Oreochromis niloticus: one gene and its partner. The protein of the gene in region 1 interacts with the protein of each later gene in a biochemical or structural test. Links are inferred from orthologs where the notes say so. Each region holds a gene or a part of one and is shown in the gene's direction. Other genes may lie near its edges.

Region 1 (15,371 bases):
CTGGGCTGCCAGCAGAAACCACAGAAGCTATTAAAGTCTCTGAGGTGCCCCTGCCTCCTGGCAAGATCACACTCAACGATGTCACATGCAGTAGTGCAAGACTCTCTTGGGAAAAGCCAGCCCATGATGGAGGAAGCAAAATCACATGTTATATTGTAGAAATGCAAGCTAAGGGAGATGACACATGGACAAAATGTTCAGAGAGTAAAGCGCTCGATGCAATTATTGATGGCCTGACAAAAGGAAAAGAGTACTTCTTTAGAGTGTGTGCAGTGAATGAGAAGGGAAAGAGTGAGCCAAAATGCCTGCTGGCACCTGTGATAGTAAAGGATACCAGTACTGAGCCTATGATCAGTCTGCTGTCCAACACATTCAGTGTGAAGGCAGGAAATGATTTAAAGATCGATGTTCCATTTAAAGGGGTACCACCACCAACAGCAACCTGGAAAAAAGACGGCAATGCACTGAAAGAGACAAGCAGAGTAAATGTGAGCACATCTGACACGTCATCTCAGATCATTATCAAAGATGCAACCAGGATAGATGTTGGTGTTTATGAGGTGACCCTGACCAACTCCGTTGGAACCACCTCTGCTCAAATATTTGTTAATGTTTTTGAAAGGCCTGGTCCTCCAGCAGACCTCAGTGTTGATGATGTCAGTGCTGACTTTGTGTCTCTGTCATGGCAGCCTCCACATTACACTGGTGGATGTCAAATCACTAATTATGTTGTTGAGAAAAGAGATACAGGCAGTACATTATGGCAGAATGTATCAGCTACAGTTGCAAGAACGTCAATCAAAATTTCCCGTCTGACACAAGGCACTGAATACCAGTTTCGTGTTGCTACAGAGAATCGCTATGGAAAGAGCCAGTTCACTGAGTCAGAGCCTGTTGTTGCTCAGTATCCCTTCAAGCCACCTGGCTCACCACCCAATCTTCATGTTGTGCAGGCCTCAAAGTCTGTTATGGTCATTGCTTGGAGCAAACCGGAGAGTGATGGTGGCAGCCCTATTATTGGGTACCACATTGAATGCAAAGATCAAAGCAGTATTCTGTGGAAAAAATTGAACAAAAGCCCAGTGACGGAAAACCAGTATAAGGTGACAAGTGTTGAGGAGGGTCTTATATATGAGTTCCGGGTGTGTGCAGAGAATATGGCAGGTGTTGGACCCTGTAGCAAGCCATCTGACCCTGTAGCAGCTAGAGACCAGTGTGACCCCCCAGGCAACCTCACTGTCACCAATATAACTAACACTTCAGTAACTCTCTTGTGGGACAAGCCAGAATATGATGGTGGAGCTAAAATAACTGGTTACATTGTTGAGCGCAAAGAACTGCCTGATAGTTGCTGGCTTAAGTGTAACTTCACAAACTTATTGGACACCTTCTTTGAAGTGACTGGCCTCACAGAGGGTGAACAGTACAACTTTCGTGTTATTGCAAAGAATGCAGCGGAGCTCTTCAGTCCACCCTCTGAAACAACCGGACCTGTCACAGCACAGCACAATGTAGAGCCACCCAAAATTATCTTGGAAGACAAATTTCAACAGGTGGTGGTTGTCAAAGCAGGAGACCTCCTAAGAATAGAAGCTGTCATCTCAGGCCGCCCCAACCCTACAGTGTTTTGGCTGAAGAATGGTAGAAATATTGGCACCACAGGACGAGTTGAAATAACTGCAACAAAAACGCATACCTCTCTGCTTATCAGAGAAACTGTTAGGAAAGACTCTGGGCAGTATACTCTTACTCTCCAGAATACAGGGGGTACCACATCTAAGGCTATCACCTGCAAAGTACTAGACAGGCCTGGTCCACCTGCTGGACCCCTCGAAGTTTCTGGACTTTCAGCAGAAAAGTGCACCCTCTCATGGGGAACTCCTCATGAGACTGGTGGGGCGGAGATCATGTACTACATTGTTGAGAAATGTGAAACCAGCCGTGTTGCCTGGACCCTTGTGTATGGTGACATGATGTCAACTACTTGCAAGATAACCAAACTTCTCAAAGGAAACGAATACCTGTTTAGGGTGAGGGCAGTCAATAAATATGGTGAGGGTGAGACTTTGGAAAGTGACCCAGTCAAGGCCATGGATCCTTTTACCATCCCATCTTCTCCAACAGATGTTGAGGTCACAAGTGCAACCAATGAAGCAATGACTATTTGCTGGAAGACGCCCGCCTCTGATGGTGGCAGCCGCATTAGCGGTTACATTGTAGAGAAAAGGGAGAAGCAGGGTATCCGTTGGGTCAGGGTCAATAAGAAGCCAGTCTATGACCTACGAGTCAAAGCCTCTGGTCTGCATCCGGGATCTGAGTATGAATTCAGAGTCTTTGCTGAGAATGCTGCTGGGCTAAGTGAACCAAGTTTGCCATGTCCACTCACCTTGGCAGAGGATCCAAAGTTTCTTCCTTCCCCTCCAGTAAAGCCGACTATAATTGATTCATCCAGATCTTCAATCACTCTGTCATGGAACAAACCGGTGTTTGACGGTGGAGCGGCAGTTACAGGGTACAAAGTTGAATTCAGAAAATCAACAGAAGAAGACTGGACTGTTGCTGTTCAGAACACAGATAGGACAGAGTTTACAGTAACTGGACTCACATCGGGGACAGCATATGTTTTTACTGTCAGATCCATAAATAAAGTTGGTATTAGTGAGCCTAGCCCAGAAACAGACCCCGAAGTAGCTACAGAGCGAGAGGAGAAGCCCGAGATTCACATTAACCCTGAGATGAGAAAGACTCTGCCTGTTAAATGTGGCAGCTCCTTCACATTGATGGTGCCTTTCACAGGCAAACCTGTTCCCAGTGTGTCATGGGGGAAAGCAGATGTTGATCTGCGAGTCAGAGGAATGATCAACACCACGAGCTCTGCCACCTCTATCACAGTGGAACGAGCAACACGTGATGACTCTGGCAAATATACTGTCAAACTGCAAAATGCTGCTGGAGCTGCCTCTTTGACCCTAAATGTGAGGGTTTTAGATTCACCTGGTCCCCCGGCTCATATAATAGTTAAAGATGTGACTAAGAACTCTGCCACTGTTACCTGGGACATTCCTGAGAATGAGGGAGGGTCTCCCGTGAAGAACTACCTTGTAGACATACGAGACATCAGCAGAACGGGATGGATAAGACTTACTGACAAGTGTCGCCGATTGTCTTACAAGGTGTCCGACCTGGAGGAGGGAGGAATCTATTTCTTTAGAGTCACAGGAGAAAATGAGTACGGGATTGGGGTTCCAGCTGAGACCAGAGAGGGAACAAAAATGACAGGTAACACTTAAGATTAAACACACCATCAGCTACAAGAATTCTTTGGCAAAAATTCATGTTAAAAGTTCACCTGCACACTTTTACTTGCTGTTTTACCTCTGTTTTTGCTTTAGATACAACAGACTGGGAGACAAATCCAGGAGCCTAGCTTGCCCCACGTTAAGATAATCATCTCCTGAAATTTGGAGAAGATATTCATCGGGTTTTTTTGTTTTCTTTTTTTTTTTATAAAAATAGAATACATTCAATTTTGTTTTAAGATGTTCTTTGTCGATTGAGTTCAAATCAAAACATATTTTGTAAAACTTTGAAAAAAAACCCAAAGGCAATAAAAAAAAGTTATTATTAATAGCTCATGCTGGTGAACAACCATTCTGATGAATTATGATGTATCAGTTTCTAACTTTATGGTTCAAATGTCTTTATTTATGTAAAGGAAAACATTTTCAGGCAGCACACAAAAATTCAGAGACTCTGGAATTCTGCATTGCTTAACGTTATCCCTGCTGGGATAAAACACATGCAGATATGTTTTTGTCTTTTGCCTGACATGAGAGTCAGAGTATAACGAGTTGACAAGTTAGTCTCATGTCCCCGTACTTTTCTGTCTTTTGTTTGGGGAAGTAACCTGATCATATTTATGCCAAAGATTTTTTTTTTCTTTCTGAACATGTCGGACAAACATATATGTATGCTTTGGGTTGACTTGAAAAATTCTCTCACCTATGGTATTTATGCTGCTGACAAAAGACAAGACAATATTACTTTATAAGAGGTAGGAAAACCAGCAAGAACACTTTTAATCCCAAAACCATAGTTGTTTGTTTTTTATTTTACTATTTCTGGAGGAGTTTAGAAATGGTTAAAAAAAAGAACTGACACATTAAAAGAAATTCTGTTCTGTATTAAAAATACAAAAACAAATAAAAAAAAAACATGAAAAAAGTAGATTTGTCCAGGTCAGGGTATACACCAAAGACGGAGGAGAAGAAAACATAGAGGTAAATTCAGATTCACGATATGAAGGACCTATGTTTTATCATCTGAGAAGGGGTCCCCTTCACCGAAGAAGCAAAAACACAAAGAAAGGAGACAACAGAATAAGCATCCTCAAGCCCCATCTCCTGAACTGAAAACACATGAAAACATGGATAAATGTGCTTATTTATTTCTGATATTGTCACAATTTCTTCTAGTCAGCAGATTTGACATGCAATCCTGTTGTGTCCAGACAGATGACAATACAGTGGCTTGCAAAATTATAATTAATATTAATATTCGGCCCCCTTGAACTTTTCCACATTTTGTCACATTACAGCCACGAACATGAATCAATTTTATTGGAATTCCACATGAAAGACCAATACAAAGTGGTGTACACGTGAGAAGTAGAATGAAAATCATACATGATTCCAAACATTTTTTACAAATAAATAACTGAAAAGTGGGGTGTGCGTAATTATTCAGCCCCCTTTGGTCTGAGTGCAGTCAGTTGCCCATAGACATTGCCTGATGACTGCTAATGACTAAATAGAGTGCACCTGTGTGTAATCTATTGTCAGTACAAATACAGCTGCTCTGTGACGGCCTCAGAGGTTGTCTAAGAGAATATTGGGAGCAACAACACCATGAAGTCCAAAGAACACACCACACAGGTCAAGGATAAAGTTATTGAGAAATTTAAAGCAGGCTTAGGCTACAAAAAGATTTCCCAAGCCTTGAACATCCCGCGGAGCACTGTTCAAGCGATCATTCAGAAATGGAAGGAGTATGGCACAACTGTAAACCTACCAAGACAAGGCCGTCCACCTAAACTCACAGGCCGAACAAGGAGAGCGCTGATCAGAAATGCAGCCAAGAGGCCCATGGTGACTCTGGACGAGCTGCAGAGATCTACAGCTCAGGTGGGGGAATCTGTCCATAGGAGAACTATTAGTCGTGCACAGCACAAAGTTGGCCTTTATGGAAGAGTGGCAAGAAGAGAGCCATAGTTAACAGAAAACCATAAGCAGTTTGCCACAAGCCATGTGGGGGACACAGCAAACATGTGGAAGAAGGTGCTCTGGTCAGATGAGACCAAAATGGAACTTTTTGGCCAAAATGCAAAACGCTATGTGTGGCGGAAAACTAACACTGCACATCACTCTGAACACACCATCCCCACTGTCAAATATGGTGGTGGCAGCATCATGCTCTGGGGGTGCTTCTCTTCAGCAGGGACAGGGAAGCTGGTCAGAGCTGATGGGAAGATGGATGGAGCCAAATACAGGGCAATCTTGGAAGAAAACCTCTTGGAGTCTGCAAAAGACTTGAGACTGGGGCAGAGGTTCACCTTCCAGCAAGACAACGACCCTAAACATAAAGCCAGGGCAACAATGGAATGGTTTAAAACAAAACATATCCATGTGTTAGAATGGCCCAGTCAAAGTCCAGATCTAAATCCAATCGAGAATCTGTGGCAAGATCTGAAAACTGCTGTTCACAAACGCTGTCCATCTAATCTGACTGAGCTGGCGCTGTTTTGCAAAGAAGAATGGGCAAGGATTTCAGTCTCTAGATGTGCAAAGCTGGTAGAGACATACCCTAAAAGACTGGCAGCTGTAATTGCAGCAAAAGGTGGTTCTACAAAGTATTGACTCAGGGGGCTGAATAATTACGCACACCCCACTTTGCAGTTATTTATTTGTAAAAAATGTTTGGAATCATGTATGATTTTCGTTCCACTTCTCACGTGTACACCACTTTGTATTGGTCTTTCACGTGGAATTCCAATAAAATTGATTCATGTTTGTGGCTGTAATGTGACAAAATGTGGAAGAGTTCAAGAGGGCCGAATACTTTTGCAAGCCACTGTAAGCCAGCTAAACAACAACAGTCGACTATAAGCTAATATTATGGTACAGTCTAAGTGTTAAGTTTCTGATCTCCCTTGGTTGACTAAAACAAGTTTGTCATATTATAGCAGCCACCATAGTTACAATTATGCACTTGGATTGGGAGGGGTAAGAAAACAGAATTCATTTGATTGCAATCTACAGACATCTAGTGGTGAGATTTTACACACTCTTACTTTAAAGATCACCAATTAACCTAACCCCACTGATTGCTGCATGTCTTTGGACTGTGAGAAGATAGTAGTAGTCTCCCTCATACTGAATACTCATTCAGTTTCAGATAAGTCTCGGTTTATATTAATTTAAGCAACTTTCAAAATCTACTGAAAATAAATAGTGATGTTTTTTGCAAATTAATCTTTTTGATATCTTTGCTTAAATACACTTAAAATAATAATTTAAACAACTACAAAGAGAATAAATTAAGCCTTTGTGAGCTAAAGAAACAATTTATTTATTTATTTTTAAATAATACAATAGGGTTGAATGGATTACTATTATTTTTAGATTATGACATAAATGTGTCCAGTAAATACTCAGGACCATAGAAATGTTGTGCAATAATATTTTATGTTTTTAACATATGTTTGTAATGTTTGTTTTGTATATATGATCATGGGGTTGCAAGTATGATTAATTGGGTTGCAGATCAGTGATAGTATTAGAAGGGGGGTTTTTTTCAGAAAAAGATGTTGTGTAATTTAATGGATTATAAAACTCACGAATAACCGTAGTTATACAAATAAAGAAAGGAAACCTTATTTTGTCTTCTTTGGTAATATGTGGAACTGGGTTGGACTGGTTAGAGTGATACAATCTACTGTGATACTAGTGATTCTATCGCTAGAGACCCCACAATAATAGGACTCGAAGGGCTTTATTTTTATGCTACGATAAAAATAAAAGCTACTCCTTGTACTTGAGTACATTTCACTGCTCACGTCTTAATTAATAAAGTGTTTTTAGTATCTTTATTTCATCAGCGACCTTTACCCACTTCCAGTCGGTCTCCTCTTTTATTTTGTTATCTCAACGAAAATCAAGTAATGATGACAAAATTGTGAACAGGAACCAAACTGAGTTTTTCTTTTTCAAACTTTCCAAAGAAAAAAAGGCCACTTTTATTTAAAGGTTTTGCATATACGTCACTATAGAAACCGCTACGTTACACCCGACAAGGGGTGGACGCTTCTAGTCAGAAACCGGAAGTAAGCGAAGCAGAAAACATTAGTCGTTCAGTAGTTTTGCGGGTTACTGTTTACTACAGCAAAGTACAATTTGGAGTTGAAAACTTCGACATGGGAACTACGGCGAGTCAACTTTCGAAAGAGTCGCTCTCAGAATATCAGGTAAGTCCCGAAAGCAAAGTCTCCACAGGCAAACTTTACCTATTTTCTTTATGGACGAGTGGAAGTGTTTTTTACGCCCTGTAATAACGTTAAAGGAAGAGCGTAATAGCTATGTTAGCCTGACGTTTCAAATGAGAAATAAAATGATAAGCGTCCTGGTGCTCAAATAACCAATATTATTTACATTTGTAGTTTATGTAATTCGTAGTGATTATATGTAACGTCTGTGGAAATACTATTAAAAACAAGTTACGGTCACTAGCCTAGTAATAACCAATACTGTTGCTCAGACTCTTTAAAAACATCCGTTTGAGGGTAAAAGTTACAAATTTATGTTAATAAGTGATTGTTGTCTTTGCACTGATGCTTACATTTACTTTGCCTTTGTTTTGGAAGAAGAAAGAAGCGCTTATTGTTAAAATAAGCGCTCATGTGTCATCTTTTTATCTCCCGTTTGAACACTTCAGTAATTAAAATCAGGTACGCACTGAGTGGGTCCGGGCTGTCTTGTCTTTGTTTGGTTGTTTATTCAAAGCTCCGTTGAATACTGTTTGTTATCGTTTAATGTACCACTTTTTATATTCTTTTATTTTTACTTATTTTTTTTGTTAAATTAAGAGGAAGATGCCTGTTTATTTGAACAAGAAGCTCTTCAACTTCTCTATAAAAATATTTAAAGGACTAATCCTTACATATATTTTTAGGAGCTGACCTTCCTGACAAAACAAGAAATTCTTCTGTAAGTGACAAGCTGCAAGTCATCATACTAACAAAAACATTTTGTCTTCTGCTGCTTTGTTGTAATGTGTGATATATTTTTCTCTTTTTTTTTGCAGTGCTCACAAGAGATTCACAGAACTGCTTGAGAAACATGAAAAAGACCAAATAGATGCCAGAGTACCAATGGGCAAGATTATCACTCTGCCTGAGCTCAAGGTGAAAAGATTTTAACAAAACATGTGCATTACAGTGTTTTTTTGTTTTGTTTTTTTCGTTAATGCTTGACTTCTATGTTTATGGGATTATATTGTAATTCATGCTGTGAAGGAAGTGCTTCAGTGGCTGGTAATCTGTTCTGACCTTTGTACTCATTCCTGTTACAGTCCAACCCTTTCAAGGAAAGAATCTGCCGGGTGTTCTCTACCTCTGAACAAAAAGATGGAAGCCTCACTTTTGAGGACTTCCTGGATCTTCTGAGTGCCTTCAGCGACTCTGCTACTCTGGAAATCAAATCCCACTATGCATTCCGCATATTTGGTAAAAAGAAAAAAAAGTTGATTAAGAAGTGATATAGTTATTTTTGCATGCAAAGATGTCAGTCTACGTAATGCTAACTAATCTGCTGCTTTCAGACTTTGATGATGATGGAACCCTTGACTGTGCTGATCTGGAGAAGCTGGTTAACTGCTTAACTGGTGAGACAAATGATGCAAAACTTTCCTCCACGGAAATGAAGCAGCTCATCAGCAACGTGAGTTTACTGAGTTTGTCTTTATAGTTGTAAGGGGTGGTTATAAACTGCGTGTGGGGTGGTATACTGATGTGTCAGTAAGCCTAACAATGTGTTTCTTTCCCGTGTCTGCATGTTGTTTAGATTCTTGAAGAGTCAGACATCGACAAGGACGGAACTGTGAACCTCTCAGAGTTTCAGCACGTCATTTCAAGGTCACCAGATTTTGTCAGGTAACTAGAAATCCAGCTGCTCCAAATACCAATAATTATTTGCATTTATAAGTGTCCAATTGATTCTCATTTGATTTATCCACAGTTCCTTCAAGATTGTGCTCTGAAGACTTCCAGTGGACCTTGGAGATGCATGCACCTTTTTAATTTTAGTGTATAATTTTAAATCAGAACAGTTTTAATTACTTGCCTTAAATTATATTTACCTGTGGATTTTGCTGCCTTAACTGTTTTATGTCATTTGTCAAATATAAACCCTTTTTAAACATCTGTTTGAAGAAAAAATAAAAGTTTCACCAAAAAGTATTGAGTTGAGTTTTTATAGAGAAAAAAAATGAACAAATAAATTTAGTTAATTCTTTGTGTTTGTAGGAGAAATTTACAACTGTCGTCCAAAGTTCACTGTGCTTAACAAGTGCATTTTGTGCTATTTTCAGCACAAGCTACTTCCTCCTTTACAGCTGCAGCAAATGTGTTCCATGTCCCGCACACCACATCAAGCACACGCATCTGCTCAGCCCTGAAAAACTCCACACGCTGCGGCTCATCTGAACTAGTTACGGTTTGATGTCCAAGCTGGCCGTATTCCCCTGGAAAGGTAATAAAGGCAAAGAAGCCTAAAATCTCGGCATTCACTTTGATTTGAATGATGCTGCTGTGAGAATTTCACTTAGATGTAACACGTTTCTAAAACCAAAACTCACCCCATCCCCAAGTATAGAGGTCACCAGTGGCTGAAAAGAAGAAATTGTGACATAATTAGTTTATTTGCTAGGAAATGTGCATCCCTGTAAAACAACTGCCAAAAGACATTCCTTACTTGTTACTGCAGCTGTGTGGCGGGAACCACAGCTTACTGTTTGGATTTCACATGAAGGAGAGACATCCAGCAGAGCAGGGAACGCCTGGATTGATATGAATACATCTTCATGCTCCTCTTCCTCCTTTAGCTTTTCATCAGCTGGTGTACTGGTATCATAGCACAATTCTCCTGTTTGATAAAGTCAGTGGTTCAAAATGGATGTAAAAACTGCCTCTTCAATATAACTCTTTAAAGCAGTGCACATTTCAGGACAGACCTGTTTGCTGACTACTTTTCTGCTGAGATTTCCTCAGACCTCGGGAAGGAAGTCCAAGCTGGCCGCTCTCATTCCAGCCCCACACATAAAGGTCACCCCCATCTAAGAACAAAAACGATCCTCTTCAAATCCTTTTCAAACCGAGTGTAACTTGTCCAAATCTTTATTTGACATTTACCACTAATGCAAGCTGAGTGCCAGCCTCCTGTAGCCACACGGGTCATGGACATCCCCCAGAGTGCCTCCACTACTCTGGGCTCCTCCTCAGAGGTGAGCACTCCATGCCCCAGCTGACCATGGCTGTTACATAAACACATGCACGCATAGGAAGATTAACTTATGCTTGTTCGTTTGTTTGTTGATTGTTGTTTATGCATGAAACTGCTGCTTCTCATATGTTCAATAAAGATATATGTGTAAGTGGCTCCACCTGCCCAGTCCCCAGCTGTACACTGCTCCAGTGGCAGTAAGAAGAACGGCATGCTCTGCACCCAGTGCTAGGCTCCTGGCTTTCAGGTGTCCTGGTAAGGTGCAGTAGAGGGGAGGCTTTAAGGCAATGTAACCCCCAGGGACCAATGGCAAATTCACATCTACAAAAAATAAATAAAAAGTAATATTGAGACTCTGTAATTTCATACATCATTATTAATGTCTGTCTAGCCAGATAAGATATTAGCATACACATTACCAGAGCCCTCTGCGTGGGTTTTTATATCCATGCTCCATGATGGACTCTTCTCCCTCTTCTGCAGATCCCAGGTCTCAATCCTGTCTGGGAAGGCCAGGGTCAAGTGCGATTCACTGATGAATACATCTTTACAACCATAGCTCTCTATTTTAGAAATACCACAGTCCTCACTGGAGACCGATTCCCCAAAGCCTGCCAGGCTCAGGCAGCTGTCTCCTGACAGAAACAGAAAACAACAACGTAAGAGCTAAGCTAAAGCAATAGATGTATTAAAGACATGTTATTCCTCAGAACTCAGAGCGATGTCTTTGATACACTCACCATCTAAATGTAAAGATGCTCTTCGACTCCAGCTCACTCTGATCTGACTTGTCTTCAAGCAGCATCCACTTTTATCCACGTGACTGCTGAGCTCTGCTGGGTGAGTTACTTTAACTTGGTGGAGCGCGCTGCTACTTTCTCCTCTGCCTGACTTTTCCTGGACACGTATCTGTCCAAAGGCATTGAAGCCGAAACCAAACCAGCGCATCTGAACACCGTGCCGCTCAGCGGAAGAATCCGCAAACTTACCTGCGGCTGCGCTTGTTTTCGTACTGCAGGAGCACAAGCGGCGAGAGATGATGACGAGTGGCGAGGGAGGAGCATATGGTTTAAATCGTCTTTAAAGAGATAGACACCAAGTTCATGTTTATTGACAGTATTTAAGATGGGCTTTTTTGATACAGGTTGTTATGTATTACTGGCCTGGCTCACTTAGGTAGCAGATCAGCTGGACTGTACATGATCACTGAACTAAATTGAGTTTTAACCCCTGCCATAAATTATAAATTGTGCATCACAAACTTTGATAGGACAAAGTTGTAGAATGGCCATTTTAATAATATAAAAATACTCGGAGCAGTCAGTGGCCCCCCCCCCCCAATCCTCCTAGCAGCTGTACCTATGATGTCAATTTCAACATCCTATCTTTGTTCTCAGTTATTGCATTCACAATATTTTCTGAAAACTGAGATTCAAACTCAGAGATTTTTAGTAGATACACTTAAGGTATCAATTTGAAACTCCTACATTGCTTCATTCTAAAGTTATCACATTCAAAATGTTGGGTATCCTTATTGCCTGCCCAGCAGGGTGATGACAATGCCTTTCATGGTTGAGGGATAAACATAGTTGGGCATCCCAGCACTAAAGCACCATTATAAAGTACATCTAGCAAGGCTGGATATCAGATAAAGTAAACAGAGAAGTGAGGATTGGTCATTTTTATTTATTTATTTATTTTTATGTGTTCACTTAAAACGTATTAAAACAACAAAGCACACAGGGAATGTGTTGGACTGTCAATAATAGTGCTAACAAACATTTAAACAAAAAGTACATTTTATAGTGTAAATGAAATGTTTCTATTTTTGCTGAAAATAAAATAAAATATTGAGAAAAGTAGTGTGCACAATAAAAATAAGAACGTATTTGTGGGACTAATGACAGTCAAATTAAATATTTGCACATATATAGGAATGATCATTTTTAGTGAAAATACATGGAGGAGAAATGTTGGTCTCTGGGTGGAATATGCACTTTTGCCAGACTTTAGCAAGCATACAATCAACGTTACACAGCAGTCAAAAATCATTTGTGTGCTGTTGGTTCTTCCATTTGATACCATTCTTCACCACATCCCTTATTGCTTTTAATCATTTTTTGTTAAGACATGAGCCCATTTCCTGCAAAAATGAAATTACTTCACTGGTCCAATATAACGTTCGAAGTTCTGAAACACTGTCAGGTGGCACATTCACACACTGCACTTTGTGTTCAGGGTTCAGTTCCTGAGCTCTTCTTCTTTTCTTCCCTGCTTCTGATGATGCCGTACTCCATTGCTTTATCCAGGCAGTTCTGAGCTATCTTCGAGACAGCATCTGGCGTGCCCTCTCCTCCCTTTGCAAGGACGGAAAGAATCTCCAGAGCTTCGCTCTCTATGAGTTTCTCAGCCAGACTCTTCTCTGCCAGGATCATGTTCTGAACTATGACCACTCCACGATGACGTAGGTCAGGTATTTCACTGAGCAGCAAAGCCTGCACAATTTCTAGCCAGTGGGTTGTCTGAGAAGATAACAGAAGTCATGTGAGCAAAAATAGAGTAAAATAAATAAATAAATAATGGTAGCGACACGACTGGAGTGCTTTTCTTACAGTTCCAGGGATGCGAGCGCAGAGTTCTGGCTGTTCGGCTGTCAGCATGGCCAAGGTTCCTGCAGCAGCTTTCCGTAGCCTCTCGTCATCCTCTCCGCTGTAAAGCACGAGCAGCTTCAGGCGATCATTTCCTGTGGCCAGGTAGAGCTTCTGCACCTAAGGGTGCACCACACAGCCGCTACTGTCAGTTCAACCGGTATTCATGTATTCAAAGACTTGTTAATAAATTATGCCTTACCTCTGTATTTAAAACCAAGTTGCACATGCACTCTGTGGCAGAAGCTCGTACGAGGTCATGCTCCTCGAACATGTAACCTTCAATTTTAGGTACAGCTTTCTCCTTGATGATCTTTTGCCTGTGAAAGAGTATACTTAATTCAGAAAACTGAAAAACACTTATGAAACTGCGCTGATCAGGATAAAAGATGCTTTAAAAGGCAGATATAATGTTTTGAAAACAGTAAAAAATAAAACAGAACCTGGCATGCTTTGCATAACTGCACAACTTCAGTGTTAATTATCAGCTTCTACAGTGAAAACAGCTTTGACAGGAAATTAGATTTCAGTGGTCAACGGAGACTCTAAATGCTTCAGTCTTTGTCAACAGTTTGGAAAGTTGCCGTACAAGAAGATTACTGCATGTTAATCAAGTCTGTGATTAAGTCCACATTAAATCTCAGTCACTTGTGGTCACCCTGGAAGAATTTAAAAACAGGTTTGATGGGAGGACTTCACACCATCTAAATACTTTATGCAAAGCAATAAAAGTGACACATGTATTGATCTGCAAAAGTAGCTTTGCAAAATGAAGAAAATGTAAAAAACATAAAATAAAATAAAAAGTATGCTAAATGTAATGGACTGGAACGAAAATAGACTGTTTTGTATGAATATTCTTAGGAGAGACTCCCCCCTAGTGGCGAACCTGAGTCTATCGTTGATGCCGGCCAGGTTTGTGAGAGCCATGAGTGCCTCAAAGTTCTGCAGCAGGGTGCACTCAAGCCTCAGAAGGCTGGCTAGTGGGCGTACCACCTCATAGATCTGACCCCAAAAAATACACAAACAACAAACAAAAGCAAGATAATGTTAAAAAGTTATTGTATTTTCTAAGTTAACTTGTGTGTTACTGTCTGCATTTTTACCCTTTCTCCTGGAAAGGCAATCTCCGGGTTAGATGTGATGGTTATTTTTGCCAGGGCTTGTGCAGCTTTGATTTTTCCTGCATCTGTGTTGTCGGATGCAAGTGGGATCAGAGCCTTTTGGAGGAGAGCAGCAGACATAAATCATTTAAGCATTCTGAAGTGTGGTGCTTAGTTAAGAGCGTAGGCTAAACTGAGTGTATTTTATCAGTACGCTCTACCTTTCCTCCACCCTGTGCCACCACTGTGCCTCTGTCTTCCTGTCGCTCCACTAAGGCCAAGAACACCCTGCCGTGAAAGATTATATTAACCAGAAAATCTATAGAAAAAACAGTGAAAGATAAAGACTTACTGCCATTTTCCTACCTGGCAATACATTCCCTACAAGCCTCAGTGAGAGCAGGACTCTCCTGTTTGACCATGCAAACCAATGCAGACACCACACCAGCCTCCAGCAGCTTCACCAACCTTTTCTCTACATAGGAAGGTGCATCCTATCATTTAAAAAAACAAAAATACATAAAGTAGGCAGAAACATGAATCATAACAAAAAATAATTGAAATGAAGCTGTATAAAATAAATATTGTGCAATGTTAGTTCTACTTGAAAATAAAAAGGTTAATATTAGTATTACCTTGGGATGTTCCTCAGGTACATGCTGCTTTGCATACTTGGCCAGCTCCACCATTTGAGGGTCTGGTTTCTCCACATCATAACTGTTAGTGCAATTCACTAATGTAGAACCCACAGCAAAGAGTACAGTCTTATCTTCAGACTGCAAAAACACACAGAAAACACAAAAAGGGCATCAGTGCATTTCAAGCATGGATGATAATCTGGTCCTGTGACATGAAATAGTTAGTAATAGTTACTTGGATTTACAACAAATGAGTCCAATGAGAGTCAGGAAAGGACTGCTGATTAACTGGTGAGAGCATAGACAGGACTAACACTGCCATCTAATACACCATGAAGGTGTGTGCAAAATATGCTGGGGTTTGGTTATGAAAAATCAGACCCCGTTAACGCCACAGAAGTCATTCAGAGTGGAGAAAATATAAGACTT
Region 2 (15,571 bases), on another chromosome or scaffold:
TACAATCCTGTCTACTTTGAATGGATTACTCCTGAATTATTTTTAAATGTTAAAACATTTATTCCTTGAATTTGGATTCTGTGGGCAAACAGATTTTTTTTTTCTTTTCTCAAGCTTTCCAAGCAGTCACCAAAACATTTTGCCTGAGTGCATGCTTCTGTTAGAAACTGCAGTGGAAAGCATCATAAATACTCCAAATTTATTTTTTTTAAAGTGGCTTACAAAGACCTTATGGATGTGCATTTAGCAGTTGGGTACTGTCTCTTCAAAATAAAAGTCTTTCTAGACCTTCTAACTTTCTTACACTGTTTTAAGGGTAGTCAGGTAGTCGGCTACTTGAAATTAAACTAGTAGTTTAACTACATTTAGCATTATCTTGCATGAGCTTCAGTGCATTGGTATTTGTGTAGTAATTTAATTAGTTAAGTTACTCTTTTGTACTACAAACAGCTTTCCACTATGAAAGGAAAAGGATGATTCCTACTTCTTCCTAGTTCTACTTGTAGCGTAGTGAGATATATAGGGGAGTGTTATGAGGGACTTCTAAAAGAGCTCTTTTTACAGTAACCTCAAATAAACCTTTTTTAAGTTGTGTGTGTCTACATTTTATTATTTCCACATCACATGTACATTTTCAGGTTTATCTTTTTTCCCAGACTATTTTTCCTAAGTAATAGTTGTTTGTCATCTAGCTCTTTTCCTGAGATTAGCATGTTGTAAGTGTCCCACCATACTGCAGCTTTTTGGCATTTTTTCAGTATTTGCTAGGAGACAAAATTCATGAAGGGGCACCTTCCTGCAATGCCAAGCCAATGAAGAGCCATGAATTGCTTTCCCCTCCAGTTGTGCACTGTCTCGAGAGTTAATTTTATTGCTTTAGATTTTTGGGGGCTGTTCCTGCTGTTTTATCTATCCACGTATCATCCTCTTATTTTTTTAGCTTAGTTTTCAATGAGCACATTACATTTAACTTTAACATTTGTATCACAAGAAGTGAATTGTTTTGAAATAAAGGTTAAGTGAAAGCTGCCTCGATCACATTGAGCACCTCTGTTTTAATTGAATGAATATGAGATCATTTGTTTCCTCTTACTATGCTGCCCACAGTCTGAGCTCTGGGTCTGTTGTGTCTTGTGTTTCAGTAAAAGCTTGTCTCAAAATATTTAGACTGCTTTCAGAAACTCCCTGAACTCTGTCGGTTGGAGTCAAGAACGTTTATCTTTGACTGACAGATGAAGGCATTAGATCCTGACTTGCAGCAGCTTGAGAAGATTTTTATCAAGATTGTAGCTACATACTGGATTCCTCGCCACAGGAAGTCTCACTAATATTTTATTACTAAGACTGTAAAACATGGAACCACAGAACAAGTGTAAGATGCAAGATCCAGGTTATTTAATGATGATGCCCCCCAAAAACTTATTCTATAAGTTTTAAGACAAAACATAATGCAAAAAACACTTCAGCTTATTTTGTCCAAAACTAACAAATGACAAATGAACACATAAAAGAAAATATAATTGCAAATCAAATATAAGCGTTATTAGGATTTTTTATGTTGCGTTATTACAACCACAACGGACAAGACCAGGGCACGGAAAAGGAAAAAAGAAAGAAAGGGAAGTTGGGGAGAAAGTTAACAGAAAGAGAGTTATGAGAGTAATGTTATGTTATGTTTCTAAAACATTTACACACCTGGTTTATCATATTCAGATTTCCCAGTCTGTGAAATGTCTTCAGGTATCTCCATATTGGTGTTTAAGTCTGGTCTTTGGCTCACGAACAAACAGAAATGTAGCTGTTTGTGTTACTGTCATGCTGAAATTCCTGCCCATACATGCTGCTAAAAAGCACCCATAACATGATGCTACCACCCTCGTGCTTGTCTATAGCAACCTTATAGCTAGCTGATCTGGTCTGGTGTTTACCAGATAAACAGTTTGGAGCAGATTGGTAACCTGTCCAAAACGTGCACCGTGTCTCTCACCATTAGACAGCCCTGTAATGCTGAATTATGGATGGATGGAAAATTGGGACTTTAACACATAATCCACTAGAAAACCTTGAAAATAATTACAGTTAATGTCTGTTTTTAGTAGTAATTACAAATCTATGATACACAGATACATCTGGCTTGGTTATTTTTGTTTTATGTGCTGTATACATGCAGATAAGACAAACTATATTTTCACACCACATCAGAAAGGAATCAAGATGGGCTATTTATTTCCTTGAAACCATTTTAGCAATTTTCTGGATCATAAAGAAGCAGATTGTTCCCTCCATTTATAGTCGTTCGGTCAATATTTCTGTCAGAAGACTGCTTTCAAAATGAGATTGTCATGAGAAAGGCCCGTTGACTAAAAAAATCGTAGTGAAAAGTATATCCATTAGAGAAATATGTGTGTGTAATTGTGTGTTTTAAAGTTTTGATCTCGCACACTGTGATAAAAACTTGTGTGTATGTGTGTGTCCATGTGTGTTATTTGTCTTTTCACTCATTGACTCAACCGTCATAGCTGCAGAGAACCTGTGGACATCTGCCCGAAGCCTGGGGTGATGTCCAGGCCTTCATTTTTCTCAGACAATGAGTGGAATCATTTCCCCTCGCGCAGACCTCTCCATCATTATTGACATAGAATTATTGATCAAGACCTCAGCCGGTAAATTACAACCTATTAGTCAAACCCTTTTGCCCAGATCTGAAAAAAACAAAGAGCAAGCGGGTTGATTGAGTGAGATTATGGAGAAGTTTGATGGTCTGCAAGCCAGTTTATACTGCTGACTGGTGTTATATATTCTGGATATTCCTGTTTAGGAGATTTATTTGTTGAATGCAGATTAACCAGCAGACAAATACAAACTGGCCCAGCCCATTCCTCAAGGTGCTGCTGCCGCTGAATCAAAATTAGTTCAAGGAAGCCGAGGTTCCAGGTGAAATCTACAACACTAAAGTTAGAGAGCACACCAGCCTCACTTAATTTTTTTCTTCTTCTTCTTCTTTTTTTTTTTTTGATGTTTTGCCTCAGGCCAATTCTACTAAAGAGAAGTAATTTGGCTTATCTTATCCCAGAGACCTAGCAGCTGCTTTTTATTCTTTTTTGTGAGGTCTTTTTTCTCATTTAGTCCAACAAAGATTGTCCTCATAGATTGACCTTCTCTGTGCCTGCAGGCCGTTGCCCTCATGCCAGTAACTAGATAACACACTCTATCAGAGATTTGAGAAAATCATTGGGAAAGCAGTGGGGCTGATAGTGGCATCAATCCTAACCTGACACCAGGCTGGGTCAACCATTTATCTCTCCACACCGCCTCTGGTCACAACAGCGGCCATCTTGCTCTGCTACATCCTTCTTTAATAACCTTGGCCATGTCTCTTTACAGACTGAGAGGATAAGGCGTAGCGGCACTCCTCGTGCCTCGTCTGATCGCCGCCGCTTTGTTTGCATTTAAAACCGGTGAAAATCACATTCAAACACATTCACCGTGTACATTTCAGATCGACAAGATTCTCCAGTACAAGCGCTCCAACACACACGCGCACGCACAAGGAAGACGCATCTAACAAGAGGGCCAAAGCTCACAAACTCGTTAGCATAGCAGTTAATGGTGACTCCGCTGTCATTAATTCCCCACGGTGTTTGACTTAAATGCTTCTATATTGGTGAAGTGAGCGCTTCCCAGAGGCCTCCTAGAGCTGAGATCATTGTTTTTCACTTATTAACAATGAACTTATGATCAGAGCGCCACAAGGCTCCTAAAAATGCCCCATAGGATCATTACAGTCCCTGTGTGTGTACCTATGTGTGTGTGTGTTTGATGCCAATGAGGCCGGCAGAGCAGCAGTGTGTCCGAGGCTCATCTTGGTGCTCTGTGGCGCAGCCAGGATGAGTGGGGAGGTTAAATGGGGCGTCATCAATCTCAATGAAGTGCAATTATTTTCTCACTTATTAATCATTGCCGGCTAATAGCTAGTGGCAAAGCGGAGCCAACCATTTGTCAAACTTAGCAGATTTCTGTAATTTTGTTTCCCCGTTTCCCTCTAATGTTTGTGTAGACTTTGGCAGATATCTATGGAGGGCTGCAATAAGTCTGTGCCTCCAAGTATCTATCTCCTACCTGCACTGCAGAACTAACCGAACTTCTCGCTGTTTCTCCATGTGAGTGATTCTCTCTATTTCAGAGCTGAGTGACTATTTCATGGTCTGTGGCAGAGCAGAATGAAAAGCTTTATTTGCAGGGCGCAGCGTGGACACCCTATTGATGGTTAACTACACTCTCATCCTTACAAACTTCACTCATTACGCCGCACTGTATATTGTTTGTTTCTTGTTCCCCTATAATATATGAAAGTCTTTACACTTAATTAGATGTTGCATGCATTCTGAAACATTTTCCATGCTGAGAAATAGCACAGCCCTATGGCAATCACAAATGTAACTTGACATTTATACAAAAGGTCATTATGTGCATTTTTATCTGGCAACTCCTAATTTAAGAGTGACTTAATACTAGCTTGAAAAGCATTGTTTTACTGCACTCTCTGGTTGCACCTCTGACTATATCTAGTGATGTCACGGCATACTGACACACCCCTAAAGTGCTTTTGCATCACTGCACAGAATCAAGCAGCTGCTTTAATCACTGTATTATGATTTGTTATATAACCAGGACCTGCCCAACAAGTACTCCAACTCAAGTTTTTGAAACAACATTAAGTGCCCACACGTTACCAAAGGTGTGGGCTCAAAATCTTATTGATTAGGTTTAGGACAAGATTTTGGTTTTATTAAATATATTTACAACCTTTTACATCCCTGTATCCTGAAACATGTTAAAGAGCCCTGAATACCTCATTTCCATCAATGGGAGCAAGTGCTTATGCTGATACTGGTGCTGGCCAGCTCTATCTTGGTGCCTTTTAAGAATCAGCCAAAATTTTGAGAAGACGGATAGAAAATAATGAAAGCAAACAGAATCGAAGGGGTTTCATTTGTCATGACTCCTGAGTTTTGTACATAGTAGGCGTTTCCTGGGTAGTTTCTTTATGATTATATTCTGGGCTCAGTTTTTAGGATTTATAGTCTTTAGTTTTTGCTATTTTTTAAATCCATTTTCTGCAACTTTTGCTTGTAGTTCTCCCTTATGTCAAGTTGCTGCATTTGTGTCAGTGTCCTATCTCTGTGTTTTGTTGCTTCCTGTTTTACTTGCTTTACTTTGTCCTCAGTTTTAATTCCTGTGTTTTTTAATTTCCTTGATTTCCAGCCATGTCTCATTACCCTGCTGTGTCCACTACCATGATAGATAGATAGATAGATAGATAGATAGATAGATAGATAGATAGATAGATAGATAGATAGATAGATAGATAGATAGATAGATAGATAGATAGATAGATAGATAGATAGATAGATAGATAGATAGATAGATGGATGGATGTTTGGACTGGCCCTCACCAAACAGCAGAGAGACAATGTTTGAGCCTAAATGTCATCTTAGTGTAACATGTAGGACCTTAAGAGACATATTTCACTCCAGAGCTCATAGAGGGCCAAATAAAGCCAAAAGCAAGAACATCTTCACAAGACAGCGTTATTCTGTTTGCTGATATACCCAAATGCTGTAAAGTGATAAGATGTTTGTGGGTCTTCAAGTAGCCATAAAATCCTTTTTTTAAAGCCCTTAAAGGGAAACTTTCTCTTCAGCTTGAGTCAAGTCAAATATATTATATAAAATATAGGGTATAAGTCAAATACTTCACTTCTCAGTAGTTAAAGGCCCTTAAAATCTAATCCATCAACTTCCCTTTGCCTTAGATGAAAATACACTTTTTTAGGATTATTTCTGGTGAGAGCTTCATGTATTTATATTTTTGTTCTGTCACTTCTCACAGATCTAAGGTGGGAATGGTTGTGTTGGAAACACGTGATGTCACATATTTTCTTAAGCCAATCAGAATTTAACAGTATAGCAAAAAATGAAATCAGTATATGATGACAGCTGCAGGGCTTGTTGTATTGTGTTGCCAGGGAAACCCTACTGTCTGTCGAGGATGAGTGAACAACACAACTGTTCCTTTGAAGGACATATTGCAACTCTTAACTATTAACATTTACTAAGTTGTGTTTATTGATTCAATAAATTACATTTAAAAAAATAACAAGACTTCAAACCAAATTTTATCAGATAAATTAAGCTTATTCAGAGGTTCCTAGAATATCCATGTGATAAAAGGCATAATGTCAATTTACGCCCAGCAAATTCTAATTTTGGATAACTAAATAACTTGGATACTTTGATTTTGATCTCTCGACATTTTGGATTACATATGCCGTAATTTTCCCTAGATCGTGTATTTTATATTGTATGCAAGATCTTTGATTTCAATGAAACTTCCTGGTTAAATAAAGGTAATAAAGGTGAGACAGGGTATAAAATCAGCTGTCTAAAATGTTGTTTAATGGTAAGTTACTCATCATCATTTTTACACACTATATAATACATGATTGAAGACTACAGGCAATATGGAAAAAGCAATTACCTTCACCAGTGTGAGCTAAAAATTGTTTATGAATGTGTAATAATTAGTTTTAATTCTTTAATATGATAGGGGACATTTAGCGTAGTGGCACATTACATTAGCTCTATGTTGAAGATAAGTCCTACAGAAATTATTGCATTCTATGACTGCTGGGTATCAAGTCCCTTTCCAGAATGGACTTGCTCGTTTCAGCTTAGTTTTCATTGTTTAGAATAAAGCATATGTAGTTTTTCTTTTGCAGTGTTTTATTGTTATTTTAGTCTATTTTTTTATTAATGAGATAAAGGCTGACATCTATCTGCAAGCGTTTGTTTTATGTTTTATTAGACAACATGTACTTAAATTTATCTGTGAAGTATGTAGGTTTATGTGAATTCATCAGCAGGAGAGGGAAGAGGTATACAAACAAGAACTAATTCAATAAAAAATACATTTTCACTGCATTCAATTGTGTGTAATTTGCCTCAGTGATGTAACCTCGACATTCATTCCATTTGATTCCAGTGTGACTGAGAGACACGGTGATGGATAAATGGCTGGTGTGATCTGTAATTCGCCCGCAGCTAAACGATGAAGAGCAGACAGATGTGTTTAAAGAAATCACACAGCCCCGTGGATGTGTTTGGTTTGGCAGCATTGTCACTAAAACCCTGCTGAGTGAAACTTCAACCACGGTCAATGTGAGACATCTAGTGGCAGAAAAGGAAAAGCACACTTTTTCGGGGGGGGGGGGCGCAATCATTTAAACAGACTCTTCCCTGAAGACTAACATTGTAATGTAACCTGTTTACCCTGAGCAGCAGAGAGCTCAGTGCCTTTTCTGATGGTATTTAATTAGTCACAGCAGCTCTAAAAGTTATAATAGCAGAATTTGTATTGTTTTAAATATGGAAATGTTGGCGTTATTTGACAGTTAAAGTGTGTAATTGTAAAACTACAATTACTGTTCCTTCCTGGACTTTTTTTTCCTGTCATCTTAGCTTTATGCTGTGCTAAAGCTACAACAGCCTATAGGCAAAACAAGAGCACAATGGCAAAAAAAAAAAAAGGATTCACCGTGGCTCTTTCCCCTTATCTTCTTTTACTTTTCGTAACAGCACTGAATATTTCCAATGGGAGCCTTTTTCATGTCTGCCTTCACTCCTCTAATAACATCATTGTCATTGTGCTACATTAGCCCCTTCTCCAGTGATAAAATGTTAAAATCATTAAAGCTCAGTGATTTAAGACTCGTCTCACCTTGAAATAGCCCTGCAGGAAATTCATGTCTTCAAATAAAGTGTAGACGAATTTCCCCCGAGATAAGAATGCTCTTTCCTTATTTAAAAGCAATGGCTATGTTTTGTGTATTTGTTAACCCTTTGTCACATACATATAAATACTGTATGTTCATATTTGTACCTCATGTTCTGACAAACAAGTTTTGTTTGGGGTCATCGTTGATTTCAGCATCTTATTCAACTTCTTTCAGCTACTTCATTCTGGAGTTACCACAGTTATCATCTCCCTCCATTTCACCCTATTTTGTCACACCAACCCTGTCCCAGGTATTCAAAATCATCCTCCTTCACCTTACCTCACATCTTGACTGCTACACGTCTCCCTCTCATTCACACACATGTAATCTGTCTTGCTTCTCCTGATTTTCATTCCTCTTCTCCTCAAAACATACCTCCAACTCTCTAGGCTCTCTTCCACCTACTCCTTACTCTCACTACAGGTTGTTATGTTCTCTGCAGACATCATAGTCCACAGAGACTCCTGCTGACTTCATCTGTCAATATAACATAAGTCTTTGTTGACTAATTTACTACAGAGAAAATAAAGCACTTTCTCTTTCTAGAGGTCATAAATATCTGCTATGTATTTGTTAATAAAGGACAAAAGTATTTTATGGCACAAGTATAAAATGCAGGCTATTCATACTTTACCCGCATGTACTGTAATATCAAGTGCCTACCACAAGAGGGCCTCCTTGAAACATAAATGGATGACACTTCCACGTCTGAACAGCAGACCACCTACCCGGATAGCTTTATTGTAAACTAATTCAATCACTACTAATAATAGTCACTTCTAGCGTTTGTCCAGAGGATTTACAAAGTCACATGGTCATGTGCTCAGACTTTTACCTGTTTCACAACCACTTTGTCACCGTGGGGCCTAATCCATGCGGGTCAGAAGATTAATGGGCAAAACCGATGCAATTAGTTTGCAGGATTATGAAATACTTCCAACTCACAGCTCCGACAAAACAATGTAGTCATTATGGAGATTGATGTCCTAAAGGGGTGTTTTTGTTCTGGATTGCGATCTCTAATTTCCCGCATTTTCATCATTTTCGGGAAAAAGCTGATAAATAAATCACCTATTCATTTTTACCTTCGCTCCAGATGACAGGTTATTGACTCACAGAGACGTTTGGGCGGTTTTGTTTGGGGGTTGTTTTCAAAGGGACTCCTCCCTTTCTGAAGTACACAACTCCACATATGGTCATCGTGTCCCCGCCCCACTACCCCAGGCTCCGAGTATCGTCTCTCCGCCCAGTGCGTGAGTCTGGCCTGGAAGATAACAGTGGAAACTGGGCAGGGTTTGTCTACACATGAAGGCACCCTGACTGCGTGCGTGGTGTGCTTTCTCTTTTCAGCGCTGAGAAGCCGTTGTGCTGATCGGAGGATTTAAAGTGAGCTTAAGTTGGACTCGGTGTGACATTTGTGGATCTCGTGGGCGTTGCTGCACTAACAGTGGCTGTGTTGCTCAACTTTGAGAAGTATGTGAATTTCTTGCGACGGCTGAGACGGAATGCGCGGATTTGGTGGCTTTTCCTCCTGTGTTTTCTCTTCGGATATCGTCGTGACTTCGGTCCGCCTGCAGCCCCCATTCGCGTGTTTTGTAAGCGTGCAATCAACGGCAGTCATGCAGCATGATGTGGAGCTGCACCTCTGCTCCTAACAGACTGTTTACCTGTGTGGAAGGAGCAGAGTTGCACGTCGTGCCTTTGCAGAGGCTCCATGGGTAACCGCCGTGCGTAACGCTGGCTCTCCATGGAGGACTGGTGGAGAAGCCACTCATCGAAATCCCCACTTTAAAAAGACACTTGAAGAAAGATGAATCAAGACCAGGACGGGATCTCTTTAGCGGTACCTTCCTTTGGTGCTTGCCCCGGCAGAGAGAACCTCAGCGGGGAAAATACAAGCGTCAACAGCAGTGGTGGTGGTGGTGTTGGTGGTGCCTGTGGAATCCCCGCAGCTGGGACTTTTTGGCATGATTCGGGGACTGGAGGTGGGGGACTTAGCCCGATCTCCGGGAGCTGCCCCTTGGACACCGGAGGGTTGCTGTCCACCGGAAAGTCTTGCAAAAGCAGGCCGGTAACAGTGGCCTATGTGGTGAACGGAGAGGCCAGCCAACAGAATAATCATGAGAGCATGGCCCTGCAGTGTCTGAAGGACGCTTGCGATTCTGTGGGCAGCAAGCTAGAGACAGTGAACTTTGGTAAACTGGATTTCGGGGAGACCGCCGTGCTGGACAGGTTCTACAACGCAGGTGAGTCAAGTGAAGAAAGGCTTATAAATCCCACATCCACCCACAACAAGCTTCCCAAACCGCCCTCAGCAAGTGAGAAGACAAACATTTATAAAAGTGATTACTACGATTATGACCTCCTAGATGAGGTCATTTTTAGCCTTAACGGCAGCCTGTTGGGATTTTAGATCAATCCTCTAAATTGATTTTTAGGCTTAATCTTTGCTCTCCATTATAATGATTAAGCCGCAGTGGACCTCACTAAAGGTCAGTGACCCATGAATGCCATTTACTTCATGAAAGAGTAGCACAAGAACCTCTCCCCTAAATTATTTTCAGGGGCTCGAAAGTAGCGTTTACTGCATCACCACTGTTGTTGGAAACTATGCCTGCAGGACAGGTTGCTCTGGGCTCCCTAAATACATCTCACTGCTCTGCATGTCATGGCTTGATGTTGCTTCCTTTAGATCACAGTGGTATGTACACTTCACTGAACAAAGCTGGAACTCATTGAACAACAGTTGCTGAGAAGTTGTATCATTTGCTCCACTAATGTGGGGATTATTGCTAGAGTTCCCCCTCCTATGGCTAGTTTCCCCTCTTCCATTGTGGGGTTCGGCATTGTGCTTCAGTGTCACGGTTTGAGCCATGAGCCTGGTCTTTCCACTGGAATCTGCTAACAGAGAAGCAAACTTGAATCCCTTGATTGAAAGCACTTTCCACCTCTAATTCATGTTGTATATGTAGCAGTTGGCTCCAAATACTACTGGAAAGGTTTGGTTAAGCCATGAAAAACTCTTCAACTATAATGCACATGACTGGTCAGAGTGTTTGAGAGCCAGAAACAGCAGCCAGTGTTTGCATTTCATTAAGATTGTATCAGTACGTGTTCAGCAGATATTGTAAATATAAAACAGTGTGACACGTCAAAGCCTTTCAAAGAGTGGCGTCTCTGCAAATGATGCTAACTTTATTTTGGGGGTTTTTTGTTTGTTTTTGAGGGGGGTTACTTGCAAACTCTGGTAGCCTAAAGACACAATCATTGCTTCCCTCATTATTAATATTGTAAAAAGAGTTTACCTGACAGGAGCTATAAAAGAATCAACATGTATAAAAGTCAATATGCAGGATGCATTTTTTTTCCTTATTATAAAAGACCTAGAAAATTCCTTTAAAAAAAATCTGTTTTATTAATGGTAAATGTATCAGTGTTAACAGTAACAAAACTAAGATTAAGTCAATAGGGGGAAAAAATATATTTTTTAAAACAAAAGCATGAATTCTAAGGTCACAATGGTTAGCAGTCACTAATAAAAGGTCCATGTATTTTCTTAACCACTCATCCAGCTAAGCTCACAGGGAGCTGAAGCCAATCCCGGCTGACATTTGGCGAGAGGCGGGTAACTGGTCAGGTCACAATTCCACTCCCATTTGTACTTAAATCCACACCTATGACCAGTTTAGACCCAACAAGTTCCCAACCAGTTCAACCCAACAATAATATGTTTGCACTGTAGAAGGACACTCCAAGCTAAGGGAGAGTGTGTTAAACAATGCATTACCCAGCCGCCTCACAAATCTTAGCAACAACTGTCAAAAAGTAATGAAAATCAGGACACAAGGTCAGCAGCCCCACCAAGGTGCTTATGAACATTTTATAATTGTGCAAAATTTAGAGTTAAACCGTAACAAATTCTTAATACTATGCAAAAAGTAGCATAGAAAAAGTATATGTAATAACATTTTTATCCAACTATAGCAATGTAGTGATTATAAACTGATTATAAATAGAGCTGAATTAACCATATTTAGTTGCAGTAACAGCACTTATATTGCCAACATCAGAGCCTACTAGTGAAGGCAGACAGGTGTATTGTTTGTTCCATGCTCGACGTGCTTCTTGCTTCTCATATTATTGGCTGCACAAACACATCATGTTCCCAGTGTTTTGTTTGGTCTTTTTCCTCTGAGCTACCGTGGAATTTTCTCATAATACACAGGGGAGGGCTGTGGCATTTTCCCAGACACACATTGCTATATCTGTTCACTCACACACCACTTCTTCATTATCCTCCTGCAGACGAAAGACCAGAAACAAAAAACCTGAGTGAGCTTGTTGGTTTCTGTCATTTGGAAGCGTGATGTGTCTGCTTCAGATACAATGAAAAGCTGTTCCTGACTGTCCTTACATGTCCTCCCCGCATGATGCTGTGGACAAAGAGGGTATTTGGCTGAAAGATGGCAGAGCCTGATTGTGAAACCCTCAGGACATGAAACACAGGAAGTGTAGATGCAAAAGTTTGGCAACAGTGATAGCTAACCATATCTTATCACTGGGAATTTTATTCACTACAGCCCAGTTATTCATGGAGTCAAAATTCAGATTTGAAGTCATATTTGTGTAGCTGTGCCTGTCTTACTTATACCACTGATCACATGATATTAACCAACATAAGTGGGGGGAGGAAAAAAAAAACAGATGTGAACAGATTACATATCTACCTATCAGTGTTTTCAAAATTTAGATACTTACCGTATGTGTGGATTTTGTCACGGAACTATACAAGATTATAGTGGTCCTTGTTCTGCTCTGCATCCGCAGTAAATTTCACAGCAGATCTCCAAAGCAGAGCAAGGCCATTTGCAGTGCAAGAGAGTGGAGTTGGAGTGCATCCAACTGTGTGACAGAAGCCTCTCTGGAGAAGCAACTAATTAATATTGAGTTCAACCTGGCCAACGAGCCAGTCTGTAGGTAAAACACGGGAGGGAAAGGGCCAAGGTTGGTTTGCCAGCAGTGATCGGACTTTCAAAATAAGAGAGAGCACGTTGTCTGCTAGTAAACTGATCACAGATTATGTTGTTTTCTCAGTTGGATACAAAAATAAACATTAAAAAATTCCAAATACACATGTGAAATCTTACAAACTAACATCTGTGAAGAAACGCTGAATTACATTTTCAAAAAATCATTTGTACTTGTATTCATATATACATATACAGTTTACAGGCACTCGGTATGATGTTTTATTGACCAGCTTTCTAAAACCTAAAAATAATATACTTAAAATCCAGAAAAAATCTGACCCTTTGAGGACCTTGAACTCACGAGTCCCATCTATGACTGCTAACGATGACCTCATTAGCCAGCTGCAGTCATTTTGTTCCCAAACAAAACAGTTCATAAAAAGTGGGCTGGTAGGATAACAATATGTCATTTTTCTTTATAAGATGTCAATTTTGAGCCAAGTGTGAAATTAAGCCGTGAATGTCATTTAATCCAAAATAAAAAATACAGCATGTTAGCGGATAATTAGTTAAAGCCATCTATTTCTAAAAATTAAAAAATGTGTTAATTATGAAAAACATGCTGATTACAAATGACAATTATTAGAACTAATAATTACAGAAAGGACAAAATCACAGAAGTAAAATATGAAGCATAAATTCATACTTCATCATCCTGCTGATTTTGATATATATTGAAACTTTTGTTATTATAACTATTGTAAAAATCACCCCAAAAAAAGAAGCAGATATGCCCTAACTGCCATGTTTCTCATCCCACTGCCTCTCCTGAGTAGCTGTGCTGTAGATGGGTGGATATGAGTTGAATATTCAGATTTTCAGTTGAATGGTCGAATTTAGACGATTAATTCTATCCAAACAAAGGTCCACATTTCTGTCAGCTAATCGAGGCTGTTGGAAATTGAATAACTTATATAAAATGTCTTAAATTAAAAACACACTCTTTATCAACTGTATCTTTTTTGTTTTCCCAGTTCCCGGTTGTTGTTTTTAAATATATGCTTTCCCTTAGCCCATGAGGTAATCTTCATCTGTCTTTTTAACAGCATGTGGTATATCAGGCTTCAGGGAAGGTGTTTCCTTTATTTATTTATTTTTTGTGATTAGCCCGATTCTCAGCCCCCAGTCTGGAATACCAGCCTCAGTGATGGCCCATCTTATACTTGAGACACAAAGTCATCAGGATTCAGTGCTTGAGTTGTTTCTCTCTTGATATCTTTGGCAGAGGGTGAAGTGAAAGAAGCTTTAGCTACGGACTCTGAGGCTGTTCACCCTCAGACAAGTTTTCTGTTTCAGAAGGTAGTTCAACTTAAACTCTGAGTCAGTCAACAGGGTGACAAACTCTGAGAATGCCACTTGCTCGCTGGCAGGTTTTCTTCTGTTTCTCTCTGACTCTTCCTCCCCTCCCGTACGTGAACCATGTGCTGATGCTCCGATTCATTTCTTCATACATAAAGTCGCTATCAAAGCTCAGAGGGAAGCAAATTCTTTAACAGGAGTTTCCATTTTTACAAACACTGAAATGTCGGTTAGATGTTTCTTCATCATTCTTTGTAAATTACACGACTGCTTTTATAATCAATAAGTACAGAGACAGCGATCATATTGCCGATTAATTATGAGAATCCTGTAGCACTTATAGTCTCCGTGTTTCTGACTCATTTGCTGTGTTGTAATCAGTCACACTGATGGAAAAATGACTGTCACGGTTGGACCTTGGTTGTGATGTGAATATCTGAGTAAAGTTAAGGCTGAAATGACTAAAACAAAACTAAATGTATTTTAAAGTTACTTTTTAAATGCTGGCTTCAGACGGTCTGACTGTGAGTAAAATTGTTTCAGATTCAGTCATTAAATTATGTCAAACAACAAATTCAAAATCTGAACTTGGACATGTTTTCTACTGAAAATCGCCTAAATCAGTCTCAGAACCAGATCAAACCAAAGATATCTGTAAAAGATCAGCAAACATTCTTGATTTAAAATCTTTCAACCTTCTAAAACAATACTAAAATATCTTAAATCTATGAGACCAGAGTCTACAAAAGCTGAGACATTTCTTATAACATGTTTGTAAAGATTTATCGGTAAGACATTCATTAAAAAATGTGAATTTGTAATATTAGGCTGCCAGGAACGGAGTAAAACACCTCTGCTTCAGCTATAACGGAGGCATTATCTATGAGTGATGGCTCATATTAGATAAAATTAGAAATGGTTAAATTGGGGAACATTAAAGCAGAGGTTTTCTGTAAATCTCATTAAGCATTTTTATCCGGTAATGGCAGAAATAATGAAATTCTTTATGAGAAATCAGGTTTAAACTTCCCTGAATTACTGAGAAAATGCAGTTGCCATAGACTGTTGCAAAAACAGTTTTTATTTAATAAAGACTGACTTGCGGGTGGATCGTCTATTGCTATCTGGATAACAAATATCACATGTCCATCACTAAACTGTGTCTGTGCTTCTCCATATCTCCAGTTTCAGTCACATACCTTTTCTGTGTGTCAAATTACACCTGAATTATTAGATTTAATATTTAAATGACAAAATGAGGATTTCAGTTTCATCCAATAAAAAAATCAAATTGGGTAAAGGACTATCACAGACAATATAAACAAATATTTTATATCAAATTCTTACTCATGTATAACGTTGGCAGAGTGGCCCAAGCTGATTAAAATTCCCGTTTTTCAAATA

Evidence for each region.
Region 2: the proteins of cib1 (region 1) and map3k5 form a complex in vitro, tested with the Homo sapiens proteins (2 studies listed by BioGRID and IntAct). The link is inferred for Oreochromis niloticus from reciprocal best matches to the Homo sapiens genes CIB1 and MAP3K5.

Annotation. Positions count from the first base shown.
Region 1 is NC_031972.2:57,582,275-57,597,645, forward strand, and holds cib1 (calcium and integrin-binding protein 1), read left to right. Parts: upstream 1-7,110; 5' UTR 7,111-7,471; coding exon 7,472-7,522; intron 7,523-8,226; coding exon 8,227-8,261; intron 8,262-8,358; coding exon 8,359-8,458; intron 8,459-8,625; coding exon 8,626-8,779; intron 8,780-8,874; coding exon 8,875-8,993; intron 8,994-9,116; coding exon 9,117-9,205; intron 9,206-9,287; exon of another isoform or gene 9,288-9,290; coding exon 9,291-9,312; 3' UTR 9,313-9,511; downstream 9,512-15,371. Other genes in the region: titin, read left to right, coding at 1-3,279, 3,393-3,427; rccd1 (RCC1 domain-containing protein 1), read right to left, coding at 9,614-9,795, 9,910-9,939, 10,026-10,196, 10,285-10,386, 10,463-10,584, 10,715-10,874, 10,973-11,188, 11,294-11,501; unc45a (protein unc-45 homolog A), read right to left, coding at 12,788-13,075, 13,166-13,321, 13,404-13,521, 14,091-14,206, 14,308-14,421, 14,526-14,592, 14,671-14,798, 14,940-15,080. UniProt on the Homo sapiens protein: Calcium-binding protein that plays a role in the regulation of numerous cellular processes, such as cell differentiation, cell division, cell proliferation, cell migration, thrombosis, angiogenesis, cardiac hypertrophy and apoptosis.
Region 2 is NC_031980.2:17,202,070-17,217,640, forward strand, and holds the start of map3k5 (mitogen-activated protein kinase kinase kinase 5), read left to right. Parts: upstream 1-9,085; 5' UTR 9,086-9,648; coding exon 9,649-10,084; intron 10,085-15,571. UniProt on the Homo sapiens protein: Serine/threonine kinase which acts as an essential component of the MAP kinase signal transduction pathway. Plays an important role in the cascades of cellular responses evoked by changes in the environment.